Arabidopsis thaliana: one gene and its partners. The protein of the gene in region 3 purifies or fractionates together with the protein of the main gene of each other region. This does not show direct contact. Each region holds a gene or a part of one and is shown on either strand. Other genes may lie near its edges.

Evidence for each region.
Region 1: the proteins of AT4G26630 (region 3) and HDA3 purify together in Arabidopsis thaliana (affinity purification with western blotting, with the first as the bait; one study listed by BioGRID). This does not show direct contact.
Region 2: the proteins of AT4G26630 (region 3) and NIT1 purify together in Arabidopsis thaliana (affinity purification with western blotting, with the first as the bait; one study listed by BioGRID). This does not show direct contact.
Region 4: the proteins of AT4G26630 (region 3) and AT1G20940 purify together in Arabidopsis thaliana (affinity purification with western blotting, with the first as the bait; one study listed by BioGRID). This does not show direct contact.

What each region holds. Positions count from the first base shown.
Region 1 is NC_003074.8:16,294,410-16,301,063, reverse strand, and holds HDA3 (histone deacetylase 3), read right to left. Parts: upstream 3,377-6,654; 5' UTR 3,020-3,376; coding exon 3,007-3,019; intron 2,773-3,006; coding exon 2,702-2,772; intron 2,618-2,701; coding exon 2,392-2,617; intron 2,286-2,391; coding exon 2,250-2,285; intron 2,180-2,249; coding exon 2,085-2,179; intron 1,959-2,084; coding exon 1,805-1,958; intron 1,717-1,804; coding exon 1,638-1,716; intron 1,543-1,637; coding exon 1,479-1,542; 3' UTR 1,188-1,478; downstream 1-1,187. Other genes in the region: AT3G44753 (uncharacterized protein), read left to right, coding at 945-1,038; AT3G44740 (Class II aaRS and biotin synthetases superfamily protein), read left to right, coding at 3,377-3,502, 3,747-3,890, 4,012-4,206, 4,310-4,534, 4,610-4,654. UniProt on the Arabidopsis thaliana protein: Probably mediates the deacetylation of lysine residues on the N-terminal part of the core histones (H2A, H2B, H3 and H4).
Region 2 is NC_003074.8:15,984,004-15,991,502, reverse strand, and holds NIT1 (nitrilase 1), read right to left. Parts: upstream 4,880-7,499; 5' UTR 4,603-4,879; coding exon 4,473-4,602; intron 4,430-4,472; exon of another isoform or gene 4,381-4,429; coding exon 4,201-4,380; exon of another isoform or gene 3,761-4,200; intron 3,572-3,760; coding exon 3,278-3,571; intron 3,185-3,277; coding exon 2,903-3,184; intron 2,817-2,902; coding exon 2,662-2,816; 3' UTR 1,998-2,661; downstream 1-1,997. Other genes in the region: NIT2 (nitrilase 2), read right to left, coding at 6,331-6,485, 6,578-6,859, 6,952-7,245. UniProt on the Arabidopsis thaliana protein: Can convert indole-3-acetonitrile to the plant hormone indole-3-acetic acid.
Region 3 is NC_003075.7:13,428,383-13,438,036, forward strand, and holds AT4G26630 (DEK domain-containing chromatin associated protein), read right to left. Parts: upstream 7,389-9,654; 5' UTR 7,270-7,388; exon of another isoform or gene 7,214-7,269; intron 6,544-7,213; 5' UTR 6,496-6,543; coding exon 5,461-6,495; intron 5,386-5,460; coding exon 5,352-5,385; intron 4,921-5,351; coding exon 4,838-4,920; intron 4,668-4,837; coding exon 4,608-4,667; intron 4,529-4,607; coding exon 4,418-4,528; intron 4,219-4,417; coding exon 4,126-4,218; intron 4,044-4,125; coding exon 3,960-4,043; intron 3,786-3,959; coding exon 3,287-3,785; intron 3,091-3,286; coding exon 2,999-3,090; intron 2,779-2,998; coding exon 2,748-2,778; intron 2,661-2,747; coding exon 2,491-2,660; 3' UTR 2,023-2,490; downstream 1-2,022. Other genes in the region: AT4G26620 (Sucrase/ferredoxin-like family protein), read right to left, coding at 123-428, 536-621, 1,118-1,495; WRKY20 (WRKY family transcription factor family protein), read right to left, coding at 8,916-9,387, 9,652-9,654. UniProt on the Arabidopsis thaliana protein: Chromatin-associated protein which contributes to the modulation of chromatin structure (such as super-helical structure of DNA) and function.
Region 4 is NC_003070.9:7,294,105-7,299,935, forward strand, and holds AT1G20940 (F-box family protein), read right to left. Parts: upstream 2,415-5,831; coding exon 1,170-2,414; downstream 1-1,169. Other genes in the region: CDKB2;2 (cyclin-dependent kinase B2;2), read right to left, coding at 328-560; AT1G20950 (Phosphofructokinase family protein), read right to left, coding at 3,363-3,476, 3,581-3,746, 3,832-3,941, 4,040-4,156, 4,245-4,349, 4,471-4,527, 4,620-4,664, 4,756-4,866 and 5 more. UniProt on the Arabidopsis thaliana protein: Probable component of an E3 ubiquitin ligase complex.

The DNA of each region.
Region 1 (6,654 bases), on a different chromosome or scaffold from region 3:
CTACTTTTGAATACCTGAGCAACTGATTCAGTGGAATCTATTTGACAATCACTCTCCTTAGTGCAGGGTATAAAGTGAAAAAGATACCTTTTACTTGTTTAGTATTGTTACGAACATTTAGATGTGAGAATATGATTTTATTGGTTGTTTTATGGACTATTATGTGGACCATGGTTTATGCTTTGAAGCTATGGCTTGAATTTTGTTAGTTGCGCATGATCTGTACTTACTTAAATCTGTGTATTGTATGGTCTAATATGCTGACTTGAATATGTGCTTGTGTGGTTTATGGTGGTTTATGCTTTGAAGTTATGACTTCTTCGGTTGTTTGTTGTGTAGTATTTGCTTGCTTTGTTACATGGGTTTTTTCTTACCTTAATCTCTGTGTTGAGTAGTTTAGTGCTAACTTGAATACCTTGTTTGTTTGTGTGGTTTATGTATTAATTAAAAAAATATGATATTACTAACTTTGAAATTTATGATGAACTCGAAAAGAGATGGTTATTGATTGTCCTTGGAAGATTATCTTACTTGATTTGTAATGATCGCTTAGTAGTGGTTTGATATGAGATATTTCTTTTGTTATGAGTGTCTGAGAAGTGAGAAAAAATCTTTAGTGCTCAATTACAATTTTCGTTGATCAACAATATTTCTACAGATTACTATAAATTACAATTGTTCATGGATTTACATTTTAACAGGTACTATTTCATTTTTAAATGATCATGCTTTATTTTGCCCAATTCCAGTCTTTCAAGTTTGATTGCTCTGATAATTTCCTAATAGAAATCAGTAGTTTCTGGTTTTGTGTTGTGTTTCTTCGTGTGTGAAGCTAATTTTGTAACCGTGGCTGATACTAGTTCTCTGGTTTCTTGAAAGATTTCAATTTCTTTGTTAGTAATTGTTTCCAGAGAAATTGTTTATTATGAAATACTTGTTGGCAGGTTTTTAACCTTTGGGGTTAAAAAAACTGGTGAAAGACTCCTGTCAATGTTTCCTCCAAAACATGAGCCTTGTGAAAATGATTGGCAAAGATAGTTGTTAAAAGTTGAAAGCCGATAAAGAACCACGCTATAAGCTTGAGTCTAGTAATGCAATCATACAATCATACACTTAGCATTAAGAGCAGTGAAGAAACTAGAACCGTAATAATGAAAACAGAGGATATTTGTTCTTCAAATTAGTTGCTGGCTTAAAGGATTGATCATTTTTAATGTTGTGAAACCTTCATTTATTCTTCTAATAAACTCTGCTATTGGCCAACAGATTTGTGGAAACAGAAAATGGTGAAAACGTGAATCTAAAATTAACACATTTGAGCCAAGATAGAATGTTGAAATATAGTGGTAATAAGACTCCAACTGGCTCTCTTTCATTAAGACTCTTGTTATCAAAAGAAAATATAAGAAAATCCGAAGGTTTCATAAAGACTACAGGCAAAATTCCATAGAAATCACAAGCTCTAATAAGAAACCACTTCACTTGGCAGCAGCGTGCTTGGCCTTGTTGTGAGACTCAAGTGCATTCCCTGAGTTGAAAGTCCTGCCAAAGAGATATAAGCCAACAAGCGAAATGTTATAACAAACAGAAATTTTGAGCAGTGAAGACAAGAGTTAGAGAAAGAGAGAGAGTCTCACTTCTTGCATGAACCACATGAGACTTGACTGGCCGACTTTGGGCTCTGGTTTGCAGCCTTTCCCCCTTTCTTCTTCTCATCTGTGCCAAAGAAGACGATGCAGGTTCAAATGAATACTCGTGTTTCCCAATTTAGTGAATAATGTAAGAGAATGGTTTGTATCTATACCTGTTTTCTGAGGAGTAACTGCTACTTTCGCCTTCTTTGCTGACACAGGTGCTTTAGGGGTAGTTTCATTAGCTCTCTTCTTGCTTGATGCAGGCTTCTTAGGTGTAGGCTCTTCTTCCTCAGAATCCTCACCATCAGAATCATCTTCATCCATCTGCAAGAATCATAACACAAGAATGCGTCACCAACATTTGTTCAAAAAAGATGTCTCATCTCCTCAGTCATTATTCTGAAATGGTAAACAAAAAGAGACAAATCACAGAAAGCTATAACAACTCACTCCGTCAGAATCAGACTCATCCTCTTCATCATCAACAGCTGGCTTCACTTCTGCAGGCTTAGCCTTTGGTTTAGCTACAGCCTTGGCAGCATTCCCTGCAAATGGAACTAGTTATTACCAATTATCAGGATCACAAATCAAGTAGTCTCTGTCTAGTTTAAGTACCAGCAGGAACTTCTTCCTCTTCTTCCTCTTCTTCCTCTGAATATATCAATACAACACATAAACGAATCATCAGCAACCAAGCCAATATTACAGTTACAAACAGAATAATTGAATTGAAACAGATTTTATCTTGCAAACTCACCAGAATAGCCTTGTGGCTCAATGTTGGGAGTTTTGTATCCAACAAAGTAAACACTTCCTTTTCCCCAAGTGTGAGAAAGCTCAAACTCCTTGTCGAATACCAAATCACAGAAAAGCTGAGGGATGTTCTCAGTCGATAGAGTTCCCAGAACCAAGTTCTGGTTCCCAACCTTTACATGTAAAGGCACAAACTCTCCCTTCTTGTTTTTACATTCTCCAAGCGATGCCTACACAGATAAACAATCCAAGATTGTTTACACTAGACCTCTAACAACTCTCAGAATCAAAATCAATAAGATTTGATACTAAACCTGAGAAACGTGGATAAGAATGCCTTCTTCAGGAGTCACTGTAACTGGCTTTCCTGATTTAACTTCAATTCCTGATTACATCGTTTTAACAAAAACCAACATGAGTATCAAGATACAGCTTCAAGTTATACACTACCACACTAATTCCTATATAATATAACCATTTCTATGTGAGAATATTGCAACTTAAAACCCTAGATGAAGCTACACAACTACACCACACAAGGAAGCAGCCACAAGAGAGTTCGAAAACAGATTTTAAGAAAAACCCAAAAAGCTTCAGACAAAACAGAGAAGATTCTTACCCCAGAACTCCATGGCTAAGAATCAAGGTTGAGAAAAAGAGAGGATTTTTAGGGTTTATGAGCAGCTGAAAATGTAAGAGAAGAAGAAAGGGTTTTAAGAGATTATTTATAAGACAGAGGGTTTTAATACGAAGCCGTTTTAGGGTTTTAATACGACGCCGTTAGGGTCTTTACTCTTTAGGGTTTTTCTTCAGTACTAACGACGTCGTTAAAGATATGAAAGTTTGTGAAAAAACAAAATGCTCCGATCAAATTCAAACGGCGGAAATCAGTATAGGCGAAATCTTCCTCCGTCGAAGCTCAGGGGAATGTCTTCAAGCTCTCAAGGCTTCACGATTGATGCAGCCATGGAGCTGCTGATTTCGACAAAATGTGGTTAATACTCTCGAGCGGCGTTTGTTCTATATCCCTTCTTTCAAAATCAACCGTGACGTCGCCGGACTATTTGATTAAGGATTGTGCTGTTAAATCCAATGTTCTTAGCTTCTGGCGTCAAGTAAGTACGGAACATCATTCACCTTTCTCTTTTGAGTAGAAATTGAGACAAATTTGACATGATTCATAGAGAAGAGTAGAGATTGTTTTAGGTTTGTTCTCAGATAGCATTTCATTCTTAAGGAGAATATGTATGAAGTGGATTGTCCATGTGTGACACCAGAGGTTGTTCTCAAGGCATCTGGACATGTAGACCAGTTCACTGATCTAATGGTTAAGAATGAGAAAACTGGAACTTGTTACAGTGCGGACGGACCACTTGCTTAAGGATTATTGCTCCAGACACGAAGAACACTCTAACAAGGCATTTTTGTGAAGGACTTGTATTACTACAATGGGAGGAAATTTCCCTTTGCTGCTGCTCAAATTGGTCAACCTTTAGAAATGAGGTGATTATCGTTTAATTTTCTATTCCTTTGCTTGATAGATTGGATGTGTTTATCTCAATCAGGGACTCTTTTTTCTTTCTTTTATGTCTGGCTTTTAATAAGTGACGCATATTACTTGCAGATATCTCATCGTCAAGGGCTTCTTAGAGTTTGTGAATTCACGCTGGCAGAAATTGAGCATTTTGTTGATCCTGGGAATAAGTCACATCCGAAATTCTCTGATGTAGCAAATTTTGAATTCCTTATGTTTCCAAGAGAGGAACAAATGTCTGGCCAATCTGCGAAAAAACTTTGCCTTGGCGAAGTTGTTGCCAAGGTCAGTATCTGTAATCATCTGCGTCTACTTACTTCTAGTATGCACTCCCTCAGACCTTTTGTTTCTTAATTGCTTATTGATGCCTGCAACTGTATTTGAATAGGGAACTGTGAACAAAGAAACTGTAGGCTACTTCATTGCGAGAGTGTATCTTTTCCTTGTCCGTCTTGGCACAGACAAGGAACAGTTGCGTTTCCGCCAGCATTTTGCAAATGAAATGGCCCGCTATGCTGCAGATTGTTTGGATGCTGAATTTGAGAGTTCATATGGGTGGATTGAATGTGTTGGTATAGCAGATAGGTCTGCATTCGACTTACGTGCCCACTCGGTAAGAAACTTACTTTTATCTTGTATTTTCTTCATTTCGTTTGACAGCTAGAGAATTGATGATCAAAACCCGTAGGTAGGAAAAGTTGCTCTGTGGCTGAGAGAAATTTCCAGAACCTAAAGAAGTAGAGGTAATCAAGTCAACATGTTCATCTCTGTCTCTATAGCTTGTTCTTAATATGGGTTCTCTGTTATTTCAGAAACTTGTGATTACTCCTGTGAAGAAAGAACTGGTTCTTGCATTCAAGGGAAATCAAAAGCATGTCGTTAAATCTTTAGATATAGAGTGACTGAAATCTATTGTTTTACTGACATATTTCTTTGTCTCATGATGTTGGTTTACATTAAACAACATGCTTCGTGTAATGTTTTGTTAGGCGATGAATGAGCAATAAGCTATGGAGATGAAAGCAATCTTGGAAACCAAAGGGGAAGTAGAGTTTTACGTATGTACCCTAAAGAGAAACGTGAGCATCAAGAAGAATATGGTGTCAATCTCTAAACACAAAAGAAACTGTAAAGTAATTCATGATTAGATTAAACTAGAGAAAAGGTTCAAAATCTGTTTTCTAGTATATGCCAAATTTGTTTTCAAACAAATTTCGCAAAAGTAATCTGTTTTCTAAAAAAGTATTCAACCATTCGAATGATCTCAAACCACCTCCAAATAAAACTCTCTCAGTTTTCTAGTATATGCCAAATTTGAGCTCCATCCAGCAATGAAAAATCTCTCATCACATCCCATATACACATACTTATGTCGATAACATCCCCAATTAATGCCCCCCTTTTTTTTTTCTCTAAAAGCAGTTTGGAACTTGAATGAATCGATAGACAACTATGTACACATAAAAGACACCTAAACACTACAAATGGCACACAATTAGAAAAAGAAAAAAAAAAACTAAAAAAACTCAAAACTGATCAAAACTCAAGGCATTAGTACGACTTTTGAGAAATTTTCTACCACGATTTCAAATAAAATACCAATTTTTTCTTATCTCCAATTAACACACATAAAATAAGCAAATATTTATTTTATATTTTTTATCTTCAGTTACGTTAATTATTATACACATAATTTTCGTTTAAATCATACATTATTTCACATGTGAATGACTGATACAATTAGATTTTGTATGTAGTATCAGTGTGAGCAAATTCTACTCAGCTGTTAGATTATTACACACATTGTGGTAAAGATTCCATAGAAGTAAGTGGTGTCTTGTCCTTGTCGTTGCTAAAGCGATTAAGCTTTGGGGTTAGGGTTGGTCTTGGTCTCCTCAAGGCGTACGTGAGTCTCCCAAAATATGTGATTTTATAATCATCATACGTATATATACATCAAATTATGATCCATCATTCTTGATCAAAATGGACAATTTTTATTTTTTTAATAATATAGGTCTATGCAGTCGTCATTCTATGTGACTTTTCAATTGTACACATATACGTGGTTGCAAAGTTAGCAATTCCCAAAAACTTGCATGTGAATAAGTCATTTTTTGTTTGTTGTGCACAAATCCATATACATTAATTATATCAATTATAAGTGTCTGAAACATTTTTGTGTGTGTTATATATAGATAACTTGAAACTCTAATATTTATATTCGTCTTACTGGTTTATAATGTTTGAAAGATAATGGAACAAAACAGCATCGTTATCACAATCATTTTCAAAATTCACTAGAAGATATTGGTGTTTTAAAAATCTAATACATGATTACAACTTATGCAGTGGTTATGGCCATGTTAAATCATCCTGTGCAGGTACATTTCTCGCCTGATATTAAAAAAATAGATTATATATAGAAGCTGAAGTCGTAACTCTACAATTTGTTTCAGTTTTGACTTTTGATAATGGTAATATTAATTATCAATTTTATTTAGCCAAAAGAAAATTATCATTGTTATTAAAACCAAAAGAAAATTTCATGTGTATTATTGTAGTCTAGTTTCCAAGTCATTTAAGAGTGCGCAATAACAAAAGAAACAACAAATATTAAAAATGCAATAACTCGAAATTAACAAAACAAAAACTAATAGTATCTATATAAAAATAACCAAGATAAGAATTATTAATAAAATGAAACGCTCGTGCTTGCATGCTATGTTTGTA
Region 2 (7,499 bases), on a different chromosome or scaffold from region 3:
GAAAAAGTACCATTAACATTATAAAGAATCTGGACACAAGACAAGCCAAATACATTTTGTGTATAACTTATGGATTTTTTTTTGTTTAGGTTTTTTTTTGTTTTTTTAATTCCTATTAGGCTATTACCCCATATATAGTTTCATGCATTTTGTTTCCACGTGATAGATAATATTTTTTATTTTGTAATTTTGTTTTCCCCTCTCTTCGTTTGGTTCTATCTAAGAAGTTGTATGTACTTAATTTGTCATTTGTGGACCACTAAGAAAATGTTATTTTCTTTTTGGCTGTGTCGTGTTTCTATATTTACATTAATTTGCACATGTTTATTAATTCAATCGACAGCAAAGAAGGTCTTTTTGTGTAATTTTTTTATTTATTTATGTACTTTTCATGTGTAACTTCTCACTACAAAAACCTTTAAGCAAATATATTTAACAAATTATACTAAATTGGTGTGAGTTATGGTCTGTGTTAGTGTCATTCATGTGTTATTATTCATATTATGTTGTGGACCAAGAAAATAAAAAAACAAAATTACACCATATCATTTCACCTCAACTAATTTGTATTTTATTCTGGTTCTTAGAAAGGCAAAGAGATAGTTTGGTGAATCGAATCTTTGACTCTACACTTTTTATTTAAAAACATTTATGAAACCTAACTTTTTAAAAACCAAAAAAATAAAAAAACCTGGATTTTTTATTTTATATTTTAACATATTTCTTCTATATTTATTTCTTATGTTCTTTTGTTATGACTAAGTTAGATCCTCAATTGGGGTTAGGATTATCAAGGAGTTGTTTTGCTTGTTAGATTAAAGATGATGATTTAGAGATTTATTCAATTAGTTTTCCATCTAGGATGATCTTCGTGCTAATATTTGATTGATCACCTAAATTTTAATTAAAATGCGTATAGTAACTTAGAGGAGCAAAAAATATTTGGCTAATCAATGTTAATGTTTAGCTGTTTTTTTTTTTCTGTGAACTGGTCAACTTCGACTTAACTTTTCTTAAATTTCTCTCATCCAAAGGATGGCACATGATTCATATATATTTGAACTATTTAGGTTATACTTTTTGAAAGAAGATTGATCTAATTTCGTTATATGACTTCTAGAACGATTTCAACTCTTAATCCCATTATTGGTGCTTTGTGTGTTTGTACATTCATGAATTCATGCAAATATGCATAATGCTTTGATATTCTTTTCTGACAACGAAGGCAAAAAAAAAACTTATTTCGTCTTACTTAAGTTCTACGTACCCCAATATTTTCTGGTGTGTGACCCTTTTGGCTATGACTTACTAACATGCATTTGACTGTCCAATATGCGCGGTTAAGTAAGTTCGTATTTGGGTTAAAACTCGAGTTGTGAGTTATCATAATTATATAATGATCGCTTTGATTAGAATTTTCAAAGGTTTCCAATTTATAGAGACTTCCTTTTCCTTCGCAATGCAACGTCTACGTCTTGCATACAGCTATTCACAACTTTTTGCTTGTAGCTTCGATTGTGCAATCTTTGACTCGTTAAAAAGCTACGTGACATAGATTCCTTTTCAATCAAGTATTTCAAAATCCATGTTCATCAATTACAATCCAAATTTGTGATTTATAATTAAGACCATTTCAAACACCATCGCAACTAGACTTCAAATTATGTATTTATGTTATAACCAAATTGTCTTCGTTAAAGGGAGTATTCTTCACGGAAAGTATTCTTCACATGCACATGTCTAAACCACATATTTAAAATGAATCTGACGTACGTACGCAAGACATGGAACAACACCTAGTTAATTATGTAAAGAGCGGGGTGGTTGATATATTTGACCCCAAACAATACTACAACCATAGAAGTATAGCAAAATTGACGACAAAATAAATAAACGACGTTCTAATTTTTGAGACTTAATAACTCACTAATTCTTAGTTATCCTATATGTGACTTGAATTTCCTGGTTTTGGTTAGCCATCATTATCCTATATGATTCGGCTTTTGACAATTGAGTAATTTGGTAGACTCTTTTCAAACTCTCATTAGATTCGAATGGATGATTTTCAAGTCTTGACTATATATGTTTCCTTGTGATTCTATGCAATAGGAAAATTATTAAAACATGAAAATATATGTTTTTGACGTACAAAGAAAATTAGAAAGATCATAACAGAGATCTGAGAGAAAAAACCAAGTGTCGTTAGCTCAATTGGTAAAGATCCTAGGCGGAGCTAGAGTTCATCGGTTCGAGTAACGCTTGGAACGAAACTAATATTATACGATGTGGTTTCGGGCCTGGAAGGATTACAAGTTTCGATCCAGAACTTCCTGATATTAAAAAAAAAAAAAAACAGAGATCTCAAAAGCCTAATTCATAATAGTTGGCTAAATAGTTATACGGCTGAACAACAATTGAGATTCAACGCCCAACGCCCAAATTAGATAAACATAATGGCACAGTTTTAAAATACAAGAGGAGAGAACCAATTCGTTTTATTCAACAACATAAGTCTTACCATTATTACTTGACTCCATAGATCTTACCATTGAAGAGAAAGATAAATAAACTTGAACATAAAATGAAAACGCAACAGAACATTTTGGACTTGACTCCATACGATTGACATAACTCCAGCAGATACGAACTTCAAGTCTCTTACTATTTGTTTGAGTCATCCTCAGCTTTCTCCACCTTCGTCACGAATGTAACCGATTTCCTCGGGTGCTCATTTACGGTCAAGTGTAAAACATCTGGTCTCGAGTAATGTCCAACCGAATCGAAGTATAACTTGGCTCTTGCTATATCACCAAGATCTTGATGGAAAAAAAAAAAAAAACGTTATCCTTTTCTATAACCTAAGATGACTATCAAATGAGAGTGTAAATATACATATACATACCAATATCAGCTGTGACGAGACCCTCTGATTCAAAGTTTGGTCCGGCGAGAACTTGTCCCAAAGGTGAAATAATGACACTTCCACCTTGGGAGACAATAGAATCATGTTCTTTGTCGTCGTACCAATCGGTAAACAAGTAGTCAGGATGATCAGGGAAATGTTTACGCTGGCAGAATTGGCAAGCCGACAAGACGAAACATCCACCTTCGATCGCAATGTGAAGCATCGACGATTGCCATTCTTTCGAACCATCAGCAGTAGGTGCACAATAAAGCTCAATGCCTAAACACCAAAAACGAAAAATAAAAAAAAAACTTTGTAAGATTTTTTTGTAAAAGCCTAGATGTTTCAAACGGCATTGCATTAAAAGCTGACCTTTGGCGTACAATGCAGTTCTGTAGAGGGGCATCCTATTCTCCCAGCAAATAGCAGCACCGAGTTTTCCAATGGGAGTGTCGTAAACGGGGATGGTTGATCCGTCCCCTTGGCCCCAAATGCAACGTTCCAAACTTGTGGGCATGAGTTTACGGTGCTTGCCCAAGAACTGACCCTGTGGACTAAAGAAAAGAACTGTGCAATAGAGGGTATACCCTTCCTTCTCTATGGCTCCCATTACCAAGTACACATGGTTTTTCCTAGCCACGTCAGCCAATCTTGCTACTTCAGGGCCTGAAGATTCATCACAAAAACCAAAAAGAGTCATTTTGTGTTCCAAGATATTGAGAGTGCTCAACTAAATTTAAACTAGAGCAAGAACACTCATTAATTAGATGCTTGTTCCAATTAAATTTCATCTAAACGTGACAAAAAAAAAGAGAACTCGAAATCAAACATATTTTCCCTCAAAGTTAAGTTTACTTTGTTCCAAATAAAATTCAATTGTCCAAAACTTATACACATCACCAAGACTCCAACCATAGCCAACTAAAAATCATAATCCAGCAACCAAATAAAGGAGAAATAAAAAAAATCTTTAATTAAAGAGATTTAATATTATATTTTTTGGTGTAAAAATTATAAAATTTAATGTAACATATAGTAATTTATACATTTAAAAGATAAAGATCAGGATAAATATTGTCATCTAGATCCGCATATCCAAATTTTTGGTAGGCTTGGATCCGAGATCGGGTGGTGTATACTTTGAATACACTCGGCCTAGGATAAGCATGCAATAATTGAGGATATGGTTCAAAGTCATTGATTGGTTAAAAATGTATCAAAAATCATTTTATGGATAAAATACAAGATAAGATGATAATAAAAAGAATACAAATAATGGAAGTAAATAGTAATACCAGGAACATGAATAGCAGAAGCATGGTACTTCCGAAACTCATCACGCCCTTCTTCGTTATGAACGCCAACCGCTAAACCGAACCTAAAACCTCGAGGATAGCCACCGATAAACCCCTCCGGGAACAACACTAGCTCTGCTCCCTTGCTTGCCGCCTCCACAATATACTTCTCCGCTTTGTCTACATATTGAAATGGAACGTTTTCGATAAATTTTACATATCAAAAAATAAAAATAAAAATAGGTCAGAGGATGAATTAATGGATTGGTTACCTATAGTGGCAGGAGTATCGTTATAGACGGTGGAGGATTGGACGATTGTAACTCGCACGGTGGTGGATGGGGCAACGCCGTTAAAAGGAGTTGCGTTTTGGACAGTTGACATATCTTTAGTACTAGACATATCAACTCGAGTCTTTGTTTTTTACTTTGGTTCATGACACTCAGAGACTTGAGAGAAGCAATATATAGACTTTTTTTTTGTTTTTTTTTTGTGGTCACGTTTATTTTCCTATTGGAGACGGTAACGAAGATCGAACCTGTGGTGGAAATGAAACAAGGTGGGACTAGCCCACGTGGTTTCTTTTCTCTGCATTGATTTGTTTTTGTTTTTTTTGTAAAGTTCACATCAAACCTACTAATAATTGAGAAGAAAAATAAAATCTATTGATTGATTAAACCAGCCGATGCTTTATGTCTGAATATAAAAAAGAAGTGAAAACCCCGTTTAAGAATTACAACGGTGGTTTACAAAGTATTTGGACACAATAAATCCAAACGAAATAAAACAAAATGGAGAACTACCAAATAAAAAACAAATTAAAAACTTAAAAGAATTTATTCTTTTTTTTTTTTCCGTAGAATTTATTCTTTTATGGATTCCTTAAATCCATATTTGATGCATTTTGATTCCTCATAATAGGTAATAATATATACTATGTATATAGATATGTTTGTAATTTCGTATTAACCTACCTTTTTTGGTCGTACGATTCTACCTAATAATATTGAACGGAATTGATGTTTTGGACCACTTAGAAAGTATTTTTTTTTTGGTTTGTCTTAGCTGTATTTCATTAAATATAAATTTAAATAAGAAATGTCATAAATAAAATTTGACGTATAGATTTTTTAAATCCATTTTATGTTATTTAATATTTGAAATGTGAGTTTGGCTCCTATTTAATCTTAGGATGGGTTAATACTAAGTTTTCCTTAATGAATTATCTCAGAGAAACTGGATTAAATAAACTAAAAAATAGATCAATGTGTTTTGGTCCGGTCAAATATCTTTGGATTTACTATTATTGGCGAAAAGAAAGTCTCATATAGTAAATCATATTCCTACAAGAGAAATCAAAATTTTTGAATTAACATGGATTGTATAGTTTCTTATATAACCAATTAGTTCGCATCAAGAAAACCAAACCCCAATTAATAATCAAACGGGCTTGGTAGGAATATTTCATTGCAGCTTTCAGATAAAAGAAAAAAACACACACTCAAGTCTTTTATTTCATCTTTCTTACTTGCAGGAACTCAAATTCCACTTTGCCACTTTTCTTTACAAATAAACACAAATTGTCAATGAAACGAAATAGTCTTTTTATGCAAACACTGTTTGTCTTTTTTCGATCACGTTTCTGATTGTGACAGCCATCCATATATATAGGGAATGTAAAACAACAACATGTGAAGTCACATATACGTAATGGTTTAGCATAGCTTCTATTTTCGTTGTCAATATTAGTCATTCCAAAACATTTTTAAGAAAAATAAATTAATATATGTATATTCTTGGAACTAATGTATGTGGAAATACAGTAACTTAATTATTAAACATTCTAAATGCAAATATGCAAAGAAAAAAAAGAAAAGAACACAACTGAAATCAAAGCCAGATTCATAATAATTGGCTACATGGTTGTAGAATGTAGGGTAACACAACATCCAGAATTGAACACTCAAATTGGATGATAGATGGATAATCTTTAGATACAAGAGAATTGGTTCTCTTCCATTATTAACGAAAATTAAGAAAAAAAGTTTAGCATAAAAGTTTGAAACTCAACATAACATTTTGAACTTGACTCCTTCATAGGAGTGACATGAACTGACGAATCACAACCGATTACTTGTTTGAGTCATCTTCCGCTTTCTCCACCTTCGAAATGAATGTGACCGGTTTCTTCGGGTGCTCATTTACGGTCAAGTGTAAAACATCTGGTCTCGAGTAATGTCCAACCGAATCGAAGTACAACTTAGCTCTTGCTACATCACCAAGATCTTGATGACAAAAATAAAATATGATTAGCTAAAAAAATTATCCTTTTCTATAGCCTAAGATAAAAACTAAAGAAGATTATATATATTTTTACCAAGATCAGCTGTGATGAGACCCTCTGATTCAAAGTTTGGTCCCGCAAGAACCTGTCCCAAAGGTGAAATAATAACACTTCCACCTTGGGAAACAATAGAGTCAGGCTCTTTGTCGTCGTACCAATCGGTAAACAAGTAGTCAGGATGATCAGGGAAATCTTTACGAAGGCAGAACTGGCAAGCCGACAATACGAAACATCCACCTTCGATCGCAATGTGAAGCATCGACGATTGCCATTCTTTCGAACCATCAGCAGTAGGTGCACAATAAAGCTCAATGCCTGAACGCACCAAAAAAAAAAAAAAGTGTTAGAATCTTTTATTAAAGGCTACATTTGTCAAACACTCAAACTAAATTGCATCAAGAGCTGACCTTTGGCGTACAAAGCAGTTCTGTAGAGGGGCATCCTATTCTCCCAGCAAATAGCAGCACCGAGTTTTCCAATCGGAGTGTCGTAAACGGGGATGGTTGATCCGTCTCCTTGACCCCAAATGCAACGTTCCAAACTTGTGGGCATGAGTTTACGGTGCTTACCCAAGAACTGACCTTGTGGACTGAAGAAAAGTGCTGTGCAATAGAGTGTATACCCATCCTTCTCTATCGCTCCCATTACCAAGTACACATTGTTCTTCCCGGCCAACTCCGCCAACTTTTCTACTTCAGGGCCTACAGGTTCATCACACAAAAAAAGTACCATATAAACAAAATAATACTTTATAAGTTACGTTTTAGTCAGTATTCATACTTTTATAACATTTTAATGCTTAAAAAGTCATATTCTTTTCAGAATATTTAACCAAAAATTATAATATTCAAAGCTAACATCATATTTCAAAGACCATGATTTCTAACTTCAAATATAATTGTTTTCTCTTAAATAAGATTATATGTAATTATGTAAATACTAAATATGTAGAGAT
Region 3 (9,654 bases):
TCATGAAACCAACACCATTACAAATGTATTCTTGATCTTCTCATTCAAAATTATTGTAAAACCACATGAAAAAGATGAATATAGCCTCAAACTAGTTGATAAATCCGTAATTCCTTACTCACCAGTGTCCTGTGACTTCCCTGTTGATGTTTGATCGGTAGATGATAACATTCCCAGCGTATTTGTGACCACCTATGTGAGAACATGGGCTAATTGACACTTTACCTTGAAGACCATGGAACTCAAGTTCTTCTCTGAATCTACTAACTAGCGACGGCCCACAAACCCCACATCGCCGGTCTCGGGATCCATGGGAACATACAAAGACATATGAGCCTTTCAGCAATTCAGGATTTCCAGGCAGCCATTCACCATCCTTCACAAGCACCTCTTCCACAAAGGTCTCCACATCAAAGTGAGTCAATCTCCTGCAATTTTTGTTAAATCAAAACTGTCAAAAAAAAGTCCCAACTGTTGATAGAAAAAACGAAACCAAATCTAAGAAATCTCCAACTAGGAAGACTTCACCCCTTACCTGTATCTGATCATATCAGGAAAAATAAGTACATCACCATTGGATGTCTCTGTTCCATCATGCCCCTCACATATTGTGAGTCGAGTCTACGAAACAATGGCCAAAAAAAAAAAAAAAAACATGAGGCACAAAGCAAAAGACAATCATGAAGGCATCATCATGAGACTATCCGAAAAGAAGCAATCCATTACAGACACCATTTCCACTTAAGTTCACCACTGTCATAGCTCAAAAAACGGAGGTGCAAGTCCTAAGATCCCATCTTGAAGCCAATAGACAAGTTATTATGTTGTTAGCCATAGAATCGTGCCAAAAATAGAAACTTTGCCTTATTTGACCCATACAGAAATCCCAAGAGTCACCAGGCAAGAGTTTTTATGACTCATTACGACCTTAAACAGATACTTTAAGTAAGCCAAAACAAGTGAACGCAAATGCTTTTTGCTTATTTGGGAGACTTATTGGAAACAATCAGACCTAGATTTATGAGAATCAAGCAATATACTTGGAAACAGGAGATGCAAGTTAACAGCGAACAAGCTGAATCAATGGAATCAGAAAATAGTAGAGTAAAAAGCTGACCTCCTTCTTCATGCTACCCTTTCTGGCCGATACAGCAGCAGAGAGTAGCCTAGGCAATCGATCGAACTCAGCAGCCTCGATCCTTGCGGGCCAAACAGATGGCTTTTTGTAGCACAAGAAGACATGCCTCTCGTAAAACTGTACGGTTCCAGCTAGTTGTTCCGATCGGAAATCAGGACGAGCGAATCCAAAATCAGCGTCGTTGATGCTTTCTCCACCGCCTCCACCGAGTAAGCTCTCGCTTTGAAAACTACCGGAGCGAGAAGTGGGTTCGCCGAGAAAGTTGTCGAGATAGTCAGATACAGTGACTGGAGACGACGCCGTAGATGGATTGCTGGTGAAGGATAAAGGGTCGTCTCTATCTCTTCCACTTCCCATTTAAAAATTCGACCACAAGTTTGAAACTTTACAGATCGAAACTGAAACTACGGAGACGAAGAAGAAGTGAAAGTTTCTCAGTGATTCTTCTACTGAGAGAGGTCTGTCAAGTATATTCCGTTACTCTTATTCCGGTTTACTCCTTAATCGATATTCTATTTTGCAATCGGACCGGTACTTTTGCCTTTGTGTGTGTGACAGGTCTTTTCGAATCTAGTACATCAAATAAGATAATAGTAGCTGCAGCCAGAATGATAAAAGCCTGGACAAGTGTTGCTTATGCTTATAGTTAACCATGTTTAGCCATCTGCTTTGAATTCTATGTATTTGCAGTGTCTCCATTGCAATCTATTTAGGTACTCTGAATGTAACAACAGCAATTACATTCTTTTGGAACTTGTGTTTGGGTTGTCCGAAAAGGGGATGTAGAAGAAGAGCACAGATTCTTTTCTGTATATTTTGGTCCTGTAAGAATACAGACTCTCTTCTTCATCAATGTTAATCTTTGTTGTATATGTTTATGAGGTACCAATTCCTACATTTCTTAGACTGGATTTGCGTTGGTAGATTTGCAGATATGTTAGAGATAGATCAAGGATACAAGATGAGCATAAATTCCTTCTGCAATATTCAAAGTCTTAAAGGGAATCAAGAGAAACATATTATTCATTTATTACCATTGGCCTCCTTCAAACCAAAAGACATAAACAAAAGAAACCTTGACAATGTCTCGAAAAGGGAGCCTCACAAATCAAAGACAATCCAAGGAGGCTTTTATGTTAAATGCTATAGACATACAAGCAACCTATCCTTTGGCTATGCAGCTTCTTCCTCTTGTCTCTACCAAAAGTAAAGCTGCTTTACGCAGTTCAGACTCCAACAACAAAATATTACATCCACAGATTTAACTTACACATTTGCCAGATGACTACTAGGCATTAGGCAACAGTATCTGACAGAGAGACTCAATATGTGCGATGTGATCAGAAAGGAGTTTAGGCTTTCACCTCCTCACCACCACCAGACCCTCCTGCTTCCTCCTTCTCTGAATCCTCTTCTTTCTTTTCCTCCTCCTCCTCCTCATCTGCTAATTTGGTGAGCTCCTCTTGGATTATCATCTTTATAGATGACTTTCTTGGAGTGAGATCTTCTGTGAACTCCTTAGCTGAAAGATGGATGAAACAATGTGTTTATTTTATATATAACCAGGAATCACTGGAAAAACAAATGACTGAAACCAATCTGTTCATACCAAGTTCTTTAAGGATGTCCGTGAACGTAGCCTGCAGAAGAACAACAATGCTCTTATTAGGTTATCTAGGTATAGAAGGAAATTCACAGTTTGAATAGATATTGCACAACAAACTTCAAATCAGCTTTCAGAAAACGAAGGTTATTTCATGTAACCAATAAGTTTGTTCGGCAGAATCCAATTTTGTTTTATTCCACACACATCCCAAGTAGTTAAGTGTATCGCATATAAAAGGTTGAGAAATTACTCACCGTACTAAAGTCCACTCTTTTCAAGATCTCAACGATTGCATTTTTCAGCACTTTATCACTCGGCTTGTCTTTCCCTTTTCCAGCCCTTTTTACTTTTAGCATATAGACACAAACAGAGATAAACATGGTGTCAGAAAACATTAGTGGTTGTATATTGGTTCGCTTCTGAAAATGAAGATATAAGGAATAAGATTCTCCAATGCATCTGACATACACTACACCCAACATGTTTTTATTCTACCTAAGCGACCATCTTACTGGAAGAAAAAAACAGGATAATGACCAAACCTGGCTTCTCTTTTGATGCAGACTTTGAAGGAGCCGGGGAGGCCTTGATAGGGTTTTCAGACTTCTTCCTCTTAGAGGACGCCTTTGGACTTGTATCACTGTCATCATCAGTCTTCTTTCGTTTGGCTGATGACCGCTTCTGTGTAATCTTCTCTGGTGGACTGGATTTTGCAGCGACCACTGCTTTCTTGTTTCTGGCTCTCCCTGCTGATTCTTTCTTCCCAGCTGACAATCTAGAACCACGTTTCTTCTTTGTAGTTTCTTCTTCAGAATGCTCCTCAGATTCATCTTTCTCCTCGCTTTCAGAAGGCTGAGGCGCCTCATCCTCAGATTTATCAGGAATGCCATTTTCATTCTCCTCCTCTTTTTTCTCTTCTTTCTCTTCTGCCTTCTCCTCCTCTTGTTTTTCTTCTTCTTCTTTCTCTTCTTCAGATTCATCATCAGAATGAGCTAAACTCTTTTTGACAACTTTTGTTGCTTCTTCAGACTTTTTTTGGCTCTGCAAAGGAAGTGCAGAATAATATAATCAGATTAAAATACTTAGCCAGAAACATTGACGGGTTGACCAGTGATGGACAGTTGCAAATAAGCTACATTGAGATTACACGTTCTTTTCAGAGTTAATAACAAGATTAATGAACAAGCAAGCCCTCAGCTCTAAGCTATGCATTACCTTTGCTGATCGTTTGGAGGATGAACTCCCAGCTGTAGGTGAAGTTTTCTTGGGAGTTCTCTTGCGTTTTGCTCCCTTACTTGACTGTTTCAACAGAATGTTTTTAAAGAATGTAAGATGCACAATAGTTATTAAAGCAAACAAAACTTTCCCAACACCACATTACCTTCTCTTTCTCAGAAACTGTAGTGTCACCGGTCACATCACCTGTCACATGAGGTTTCTCCAAAAACTCAAACAGTTTTGTAATAATATCTTCCTGTGTTGAAAAAGCATGCAACAAGAAGTTGCCAGATTCGATTAAATGGGGAAATGAATAAGCATAAACTTGGACAACCAGAAATGGCTAATCAAGCTGCTCAACAAAGACAGAAATTTAAACCTTCACATGTATCTATTCACAGAGGAAAAAAATGAATCTCAAGAACAAAAACTTAGAAATTGATAACCATAATGACCTTCTTTGTTGTAGCCTTGGTAATGTGTATGTCCAACACATCACAAAACTCCCACAGTTTCTCTTTGGTGCATTTCTCAAGCTTTTCTTTTACTTTTTCTTTTGCTTTCTTCTGCAAATACCAAAGAGCCACAATTATATACAAAGCAAAGGCATATGTAAAAGCATTCATTATGTGTAATGTTGCACACCTCATCTCCATGCCAAACGAAACCAGAGAAGCCCAATATGTTTGTCTTGATCTGAGCAGCCTGTTAAAGCAAGAAGAATAAGATACATACAAACATGATTAGCAGACTTGCTACAGCACATGAGTCCATACCACTGGTCTCAAACTACAAGAGTATGCCCATGATTGACAATTTTAGAAGTATGACTATTGGAGCAGCATAATGTCAAAAGGATCCAAAGAGACGCTCACCTTCCCTCTCCTCCCACCAAATAGAATTGGGTGAAGCAGCTTCAAAGTTTCATCAGACCTCTTCCTCATTACCTTGTTAGCAACTACAGAGAAGAAACATTCAAGTTATCTACTTCATTTCAACTTCAAACAAAAATAAAAAGATGAAAAAATGGAACAATAAAGGTATTTTTTAGGTAGGTCGCGATTATTAGATTTTGGTTTACAAGAAATCTTGCTTCTGAGCCGGCTGGAATTGATCAATGCCAAGAAAAAAAATTCAAATGAAGATTCACATAACCAGAACCGAAAAGTGTATAGATCAAAGAATCCACCCATAGTATACATGCAATTTAACAACTAGTAGTATCCAGCACATAGAATTCTCGTAACAAAAGAACGTTTAGGCTACGCACACTTGAAGATAATAAGGGGCTCAAACTGTAAACTTGGAAAGCTAACACAAAAGACTTTTCAGCACAAGGATAATTCGAGATAGATGCTTGAAGGACAGATAGATAGAATATGAACATACCATTGGGAATATCTTTGAGATATGCACCTCGCCCCTGTAATATCCAAAGGATTATTATAAACATATCTAGCAATAAAGTTCTACTCAGCTCAGGAAAGTTTTGGCAAACCTTTTCAACACGGAATTCTTTCGAGGAGTCTTTATCAATCAATGCAACAAGCCTCTCAACAGATTTCCGCTCACGCACAGGGCGATCAGAGAAAGGAGTCCTAGGCTCTGCATCCTTTTTTACTTCCTCGGTTTTATTCTTCTCGCGAACCTTTCCTCCAGAACTCGTCCCTTTCCCACGCTTTTTAGAACCCTTGCTCTCTTCTTTTTCATCTTCTTTATCATCATTTGTCTCCTCTTTCTCATCTTCCTTTGCATCTTTGCTCTCCACTTTTTCATTGTCGTTCTCATCCTCACTCCCTTCTTTTTCATCTTCTACCTTTGACTCATCCACCTCAGCCTTTGCCGCCTCAACTTCCTTTGTTTTATTTTCTTCCTTATCTTCCTTTTCTTTTCCTTCAACATTCTCCACTTGTTTATTTTCATCCCCATTCTCCACTTTTTCATCCATATCTGTCCCTTTGTCTTCATCTACCAGTGTCCCTTCCTCTTTGATGTCTCCTGTATTGCCATCTTTTGTTCCATTTGCTTTGTCAGCTTCATGTTGTATGTCCTCCTTCCCAGCTTTTTTGTGGTCTGCCTCAGTAATATCTGTCTCTTTGGTCTCTTTTTCATCATCTTTGGCATAGTTATTGTCTTTAGATTCCACGTTTTCCTTCATTACAGTATCTTCCACTGAAACACCATCATCAGTTTGCTCTTTCTTTCCATCGGCATCTTCATCCATGTTGGTAGCCTCTGCTTGTCCCTCATCTTTGGTGACCTCAACCTTCTCTTCCATTTTTTGAGTCTCAGCATTGTCTTCATTTTTCTTAACCTCTGACTCTTTATCTTCCGTCTCAGCTTTTTCATCATCTTTCTTAATCTGAGCATCTATCTCCATATTGTCTGGCTCAGCCATATCCTCATCTTTCGCCAGTTCTTGTGTTTCCTTACCCCCAGCATTCTCCTTTCCAGCCATAGCCTCTGATGGCTTTTCAAGAGAAGTAGTCTTGTTTGCGGTTGGCTCAATGGTTGCCTTTGTATCTTCCCCCATATTACAAACCAGTTCAGTAGATCCTTCCACCAAAAACACTTCTTGTGGCTGTGAATGAGAAATCAGTTCAGAGGATTAATATTGCTACGATAGCAGAAATTAATGCTCTCTATAAAGAAATTGAACAACTTGACATAAAGAACATGTAAAACGCATTGAATTCACACTTAGCATATATGCGAAAAAAAACTAATTCCAGGAAAACAACATCTAAAACTTGGCTAGTCAACAATAAGACAAATCTAATTTAGATCTCATTATTGATCCATAATTATCACTTAATCCCACTTTAGATCTGCAGAAGAAGAACTAAATGGAAATTTCGCGTAAGTCACTAAGAAACCAAAATCTCGAAGGTTCATCATTTATCCTCGCTTCTTATACATTCAGTAGAACAAAGATCCAGATGGACAAATGAAACCAAAAAACACCCTTTCATTCAGACAAATCTCCAGAGCTTACACCACACAGATTCAGACAAAACACAAACCCATCTTGAATCTCTCGAAATCAAGTCAATCAACGTCAAATTCATGCATTTTGTCAACAACTTAATAGCATCAGATATCAAAAAGACAATAAATAATCAAAACATCGAAATTCACAAATAAAAGAAGCGCATGAGAAACCCTAACTTCTCATCGCAACTTTAAACAAACACAAAGAAGAACCAAAAGAACATGCGAATTCAAACAAAGCTCAAAACATAAAAGCTCACAAAGATTTAAGCAGAGTATCCACAGGGTTCTAAAGCAGAAGACTTCGGAATCTCACCTCAGAGTATCACAAGACTCGGCACTGAGTTTTTTTTCTCCTCTAACTACTTTTTTTCTTACAAAACAGAACAAATAGCTTTTGTTTTTCTTTTTGATAGCGTTTTTTAGGAGAGAGAAATTCAAGGATTCGGACGCAAAGCCAGATTTTAAATACAATTTAATGCCACGTCAGGCTTAGGATGAATCATTACCGTCCGATTTCATTGCTGTAATAGAGTTCATCAACGGTTCAGATTTTATGTTTGATGCATCTCGTGGATCGATGACGCTATAAACTACCCTAACGTCCGGTTCCGAACCAGGTACCGAGCCTAGACTTTATATTTCAAGGATTTTATATTAGGTTTTTGGACAAAAAAAGTTAACATATTCAATGTTTGTGACCTATAGAAAAATATATTTTTTTAACTACAAATTTAATTTGGTAATTTTTCAATGATATGATAGTTTTGTAAATAAATTATCTATAAAATTACTATATAACAGATAAAAATAAAATTGATACGTAATAATTGCTATATCGGTTTAATATTAATGAAATTGTTTTACTTCTTTATGATAAGGAAGCTAAGTTTATGTGATTGAACAAATGATTAAAACAAACTCTTTCTTAAAATGTACTTCTTTTTAAAGAAATTTAACGAATTCGTTGAATGTTCAATTATAATTGATTTAAACAACGCTATATTAGGTAAAATGATCTAATTGAATAGAATTGTATAAGTGACTTTAACAAATTTTGTTATTTTATATTTAAATATTTTTTATGATGGATTCGATCCGCTACCATAAATAGCGTTGTCAATTTTTGCAAAAAAATTAACATGATAATCCGATTTTTACCTTTCCGCAAAAGATGAAAATGATTCACTGGTCCGGTGAAAAAAACAAGACTATTTTGACGACGATGATTATAAATGACTTATAATGTCATTAGTTTGATAGCGACAAAATTTTTATTTGCTTAACGGGTACTATGATCTAAAAGAATCTAATATGTTTGTCTTTAACAACAGTAAATGCTTCGGAAAAAAAAAAGTTCTAAATATGAAATTAGAGATTGTAACTTCCACCAAATAATCTAGATACATGTAAGAGAGAATAAGGTTACTGTTTTAATTGCCAATCTACTTCTTGCACAAATCTCTTAATTTTGTATAGAGACTGTATAGTATAACCTTCCAAATAATTGAACAAAGTTTAATATTGTCCCATGGTAAATCACCTAGTCGAAGTATTTATATCTCATTATTATGAGTTTTTGACAAATCTAGAAGTCTAGAACTAAAAGTTGAGAAACTATTATTGAAAAACGGGCAACAGTTGTAATTGTCTGCTTAAGGACCACGTAGCTTAAGTACCGTCGTGGTGTTTCTTTCATGGAGCATATCTAATTACGGTGAAGAAGAAATAGTTTGTAGTAATATTGCTGTTTCTTGTTTAAATAAAAGCATTAACATCTTGTTGTGTATTTTTACATAACATTTTTGGAACTCAATACAGGTGACACAAACAAATATATATGGTGGAGATAGTTTGAATCAAGATCAGCTCTCTGTGAAGAAATAGGAATTATATAGAACAAGGCCTCGTCCCATTCCTAACCTAAGAAGATCCCGTACATAATGTTGCTTACTTTTTGTTTTACGGACCCGATTGTACTCTCCCCATGTTGGGCGGATATGGGTAAGATGAATTGTTCAAGGACGAGATGTCACCATTTTGAGTCTCGTTCTTTGTTTCTCTCTGGCCGTACTGATTCATACCGCTATTTAAGCTAGCATAGTAGGATGACATGGGACTAGCATGAACAAACCTGAAATTGACTCCATTTGGGTGAGTTTGGTTGACAAGTTGTTGATTCTGGTGCTGATGTTCGTTGGAAGCGTGGTTAGGTCCATCAGATGAGATTCCAACACCAAGATTGAGGCTGATGGTGTCTGTTTCATCTGGTCTGAACCGAGGCTGGATTTCGTGATTGCTGCTAGACTTTGAAGTGGGAACATCATGATCGTGTTTGCCTTCGTATGTTGTTATTACAGCTTTTGGATCATGTGATGCTCTCTCCACGTGTTTTCTCACTGGGCATCCATGAGCTGTGCATTTGTAGTAGCTCCTACAAAAGGCCGAGGAACATCATGAAACATAATATCTCCATTGCGCACATGTTGAGTCTGTTAAGATCACTATCTTCCATATTCCAAACCAAATTCCTAAAAGAAGCAACACTTTATGCACATGTCAAATAACTAGGTCCTGAAGACAAGGACTAAACTGTTCTAGCTACCATTTTGAACTCGCAAGTTATGTTTATGTATGTTCATTCGAGAAAAAAGCAAGGAATTTTTTGGGGTGTTAAAAGCTTTAATGCTGTACAAACCTG
Region 4 (5,831 bases), on a different chromosome or scaffold from region 3:
CACAAAAATAGTTGAAACTGAGATCACAACACAGAGCTTCTACTTTGACATTTTCTAGTATTCGGATAAGATAAGGAACCCATTTTATCTCGATCGGACCACACAACAAATAGCAAACTGAAACTAAGATCTACCAGTAACACCTAAGAGCGACACTAAGCGCGATTTGCAGGAAGAATCAGAGTCATCAAATCAATTGAGACATCAATTAATCGGGACTAAACCCTAGAAATCGAAATTGAGTCCTAAATCCACAATCAAAACCAGTAAATCGGAGAATTTCAGAAAGTGACTGAACCGAATCAGAAATGTAAAAGGAAATCGAACCTAACGATGTGAGGATCACGAGCGAGCATACGCAAGATAGAGATCTCGCGAAGAGTAGTGGGAGGAACACCTTCTTCATCCTCATGGAGACGCGTCTTCTTCAAAGCAACGATCATCCCAGTAGCTTTCTCTCTTGCTCTGTAAACTTTCCCATAAGTCCCTTCACCTACTTTCTCAAGCTTTTCAAAGGCTTCCATGGCGGAAACAGCGGGTTTAACTCCATTGTTGTCCATCTCTATCAATCTCTCAAGACAACTCTTCTTCTTCCTTCGCGAATCTCAGATTTTGTTTTCAATTTGGGGAAAGAGAGAGGAAATGTAATTAGATTCGAGAATTGGTTTAAATAGGAAGGAGATTATTAAAAAGGTATATTCCCTCTTTGAGCACTCATGTTTTTTCAACGGTTCTTTTTTTCTTTTTTCAAAATTCAAAACTGGAGCGTCGTCATTAGTTTTTTTTTTATGTTCTGTTTTTAAGTGTGACGTGGAAAAAGTGAATAACCAATGTTTGTCAACATCCGGAGACGGTTTAGCTACACGAAAGGAAAAAAAAAAGGGGAGAGTTTGTTTTTTGGTCAAAAGGTGTGAGTTTGTTGTTAGATTCGACAAAACACACAAGATGGGCCTTTATTGGGCAGGACGAAAAATTGACAAGCCAGAGAAGAACAAGTTCTTAAACAACATTGTCTTAAATGATTTTTTGTCCCAAAAGAAATAGTAATATACAACTAATTTTTAGATTTGAAATACATAAACCATAATAGTGCAATGATAAAAGCAAATGGGAAACAAACATTCTTATAAATCAGGACATTTTTTGTATAATCTATAGGCCCTAAATGTTTACTTGGTGGTATCAATGAGTCCCATAATCGAATTTATATAGGAGATGCGTCGGTCATTAGAAGCAACAAGCACCTTCTGTTGCTCATCCTCCTCTACAAAGAACAAGGAGGGCGTCAATTTATAGAAATCTCGGACGCAATTGGGCCAAGCAAGGGTTGACACCAAAACTCCCCAACTGTTAGCTTCCATGTCGTACACATGAAGAACACTTGCCAAAGGTTCTAAACCCATCTTTTTCACCCTCACCACAAGACACTTGCCATCGTACATAGCTATGTTCCAATATACAAGCGTTTCTTCCTCGATAGATATGTTCTTGATCCGCCTTGTGAGTGTCCATTTGTGATTCTCGACAAGTGTGTAAACGGAGATTGTTTCTATCGTCCCCGAAATTAGGGTCAGGCGATTGATCTTAACGCTTTCCGCGAAAAGTAGCTTCGTATCCGGTTCCCGATGAAATATGGAAGGAATCAAGCATGCTTGCTCTGTCTCGGGATTAAAAGACATGATGCTGCCATCGTTTCTCAGCCAGTGAAGAGTGTTGTCCAAGTAAACAGGTTTCATCCGCGTAGTGAGATCACTTTTTGAGCTAGTGGTGATACTCGTTTCCGATAATCTCCAAGAGTCTCCTTCGTTGATCTCGAATCCGTATACGTTTTCCATCTCGAGTATGCCCACGATCTTGAATCTCTTGGTTGTTAGATTTCGATTTACCGCAAATCCAACGCACATCGCTCGTTCCGTACAAGCAACATTACCTCCAGGATAACTAATTCCGCTAAGACCTTTAAGTCCACCATTAACTATCATTGGTATAAGCTTTGATCCAGAATGATCCAGGATTCGAAACCTTTTTGTTAAGGGATTTGCAACAAAGAGACAACCAATGTACAATAGGAGAAGACCAGAGCATGAGCCGAAAATGTAACAATCCGCACTACCATCAAACAGTTCTACTCCATTTCCCGGTGACATATAATCGCATGAAGAGACCAAAGGATGGCAACATACATAAGTAGCGCCATAGCTACCAAGGTTAAACAAACTAGGTCTGACCCATGAAGGATATTCCGGTCCAAATCTTGGATCACTTAAATATGATTTGATAGAATTGTTAGTGCATCGCATCATAGCCATAGATTTGGGTTCTAATCTGAAGAGAATCTCGTCGAGAAGGTCTAAAGGTAAATCATTGATGATGGAAGATGAATCAAATTGAGAATTTCTTGGCAAATTATTCATGATTCTATTTTGCTTGGCGTATGTGAATATTTTTGTGTTATTTTCAACATATATATATATATATATATATATATATATATATATATAATAATAGACAACATATTATTACCAAAAAAAAGTAACAATCAATTCTAATCAAGGATAATCTCAGTATCTCACCATTATAAGAAAAATTCAAATACAACATTAATATAAATTTAGTTAAATTTTTGAATGATTTTGCAAGATAATTTGAAAATCAAATATTAATATATATTTTATAGGTTTGTCATTTTGCAAAATAATCTGTTAGTTATTAATTTCATTAGTTGAACAAAGAAAATTTACTAATATAAAAAAATGACAAAATCTAATATCTTTTAATGATAAATATTTCTTAATATCTAAATAATTTCTTCATTTAGTTTCTAATTTTTAAATAACTAACAATGTATTTAGGCTAAAGATAGTTTTTAAAATAAATAAAAGTGTATTTATGCCAAAGCTGTACCTAAGATACTGTCAAAAATCTATCAAAATTTATAACTGGGATTTGGGAACATGACACGTCATTGGTTGTTAAAGTTAGTTTGCAAGATACACTGTATTTCTAGTATTTTGGTGTAGTTAAGATTAAAAATGTAACTCTTAAAATTTTAATGATTCTTTTTGTAAACAAAATCGTGTTCAAGCGATGCTATTGCTATATGCATCATGCATGCATGCCTAATTGTCATATTTAAAAAAAGTTTGTAATAATAGTGAAACTGAAAAATAAAAGTTGGACAAGGATTGATATGGTGAAATAGCGCCTCTATAATCCAAACCTTTTCAATTTTTATGTCTTTCCAAACTCAATAACTTAAAAAATACAACAAAAGTTACATCTCAAAAGAAAGAAAACAAAAAGAAGAGAACAAACACGACGTGTGTGATTCATAAGAGCTTTGTCCTTAAGTTTTAAGCAAATCATTGACCACCATTTGAAGAAATAGTAGTAAGAACATCAGTCACCGAAGCCATCACACTCAGTGCTGCCTTCAATACGTCTTGAGAACATCCTGGTTTCACTATCGTCCTCACCTGACCAAACCCCAAAAATGTTAATAAATATGAAAGTGGCGAAGAACATTATTCGATACTTGACGAAATTAGCAGAGAAAAACACAAAAACAAAAAGTTTTTACTTGGTCAAGATATTCCTGCAGCTTCTTGATACGTCCCATGTAATCTTGATCTTCAACACAGAGACTCACTGCTTTAGCATCCGCACCAGGACCATCGTACTGTAGCGGTCCTGGGTTTCTGTACAGATCTTCCATCAAGAATTTTTGTGCATTCTGTCTCAAGAGGCTGCAAGAAAACCATTCACATTCAAACAATTGATAAATAAGGCCAAACGTGAGTGTGTTCATGTTTTCTGTAATAGCTGACTTACTCGTATGCTTTGCCTTTCAAATCCACCATAGCTGGATGAATTGCAGGTCTACCAATTGAAGTTAAAGTATAACTAGCATCCTGGGACCAATGCTTCACCGTCATCATCGCCTAAAAGGTAATACCAGAGATAAAAGAATGGGGAATTAGTATAGAAATACACTGTATTAACCGCCGTCTTTTAGATAGAAAATACGACAAAACTCAACTGTAATAGGTGTAGCACCACATTTCCACTTGTTCACAGGACTTTTTAGGTTGGTCACTGTTGCCATGTAACCATTCAGACCAGCTGCAAGGATGTGGTAACATATATGTCCAAGAACCTGCATGATTCTCCCATTCAATAGTGTTAATATTCATCTAAATTATGAAGTTGCATTGGTACTGTGGCACAGACTGTTAGTGACTTACGTAGGCGTAATCACAATCGAATTTCGATGGAAGAGATCCACGAGCTTGGTAACCAAAAAAGTGACATATGGCATTGAATTTCTTCCCCTTGTATGTGCCTTCTTTCTGTCAAATTCAAAGATTTCATTACATTAGCAATAGTATTTTTTGATGCCAAATAATGACTCCATTATTTAGATAACAGTATTGGGAAAAGATAGAAACCAATGATAAAATTGGAGCATACCAAGCGCTTGTTCATTTCAGTCTCCACGAGATACGCAAGAAGTTTCTCTGTCTCAATCTAGAGTAGAAAGCAAAAAGAGCATTTAGGATTCCAACTTTTTTTTTATAACATAGTAGGTCCAAAATATTCTGTTTGTTCTTCATAATTACCTGGGATAGCTGAGCAGAATCATCAGACTCAGGATGGAGAAGTAGCTGTAGCAAGAAAGGCGACCATCTTATATGTATTAATACACCTTTGCTTTGAACGAAAACAAAGATAATTCTAATTTCAAAGAATTTGAACCTGTTTCTTAATGAATGGAGGAAGAAATTCAAACAAAGCAGATGACCAAGGTGAGAGCTGAGTAGAAATCTTATCAGCAGATACACCCTGCCTCAGCAGCCCGTGAATTTCCTACATCAAACAAATGTCAGCTTATACGTGATTTATACTAAGAAGTACATCTCAGTATTGAAGAAAGAAACAAGTATCAAATCATTACCTTTAACAGAGCGTAGACTTCAGGAATACTGACTATAAGCCCTTCAGGAATGAGGATGACTCCATGATTCTTGTCTGGTTCAAACAAATGAAATAGTACCAGATTTAGTAAACACAGTAAAATACATGATTGCATAATCTAATCATAGATGGTTTTCATTACGAGACCTTCTACTGCTCTTGCTTGAACAGCATCACAGATCTGTTTAGCAATGTCAAAAATTGTGAGCTTAGATGCTGCAACCTCCTCGCCCAGTATCACCTGAGACAATCGGATGACACGATAATGAGAGTCTAGAGCATGAACATGCCAACAGAATCAATAGTCTATGTTTCGAAACTGAAACAGTTACGAACCATGTTTGGATGAGACTGGAGTGTACACTCAAGGGCAACATGAGAGTGCTTACGACCCATGAGGCGGATGAAATAATAATACTGCAAATAAAAAAGAAAGTAGAACTTGATATCAGAATCATAAAGAATATAACTTTGTAGTAGCTTTCTGCTTTCACATCCTTCATCGAAATATTTCGTCTTATCAGAATATGAAGTTAATAAACTGCAGTTAAGAATGCCCTAGCAATCTCTTGCAACATGAAAGTTCAGGAAGAAATAGCTTTTACCTTCTCTGCAGAAAGGGCATCAGTGCAGGCATTGCTAATGAGTTGTGAGTTCACCTGTATGCCGCAAAATATCATTAGCAAACAATAACATATAGTTTCTGCAAAGACTTACGAGGGACAACGGCATCATGTTGCTGCAATAGCTACAAAAGATAACTAAGACAAAGTAACCAGATGGTTAAAGTTTACATTTTACCTTGCATATGGTGTCAAAACCCACGTTTGCCTCCACAAACTGATTTTTGAGATCTC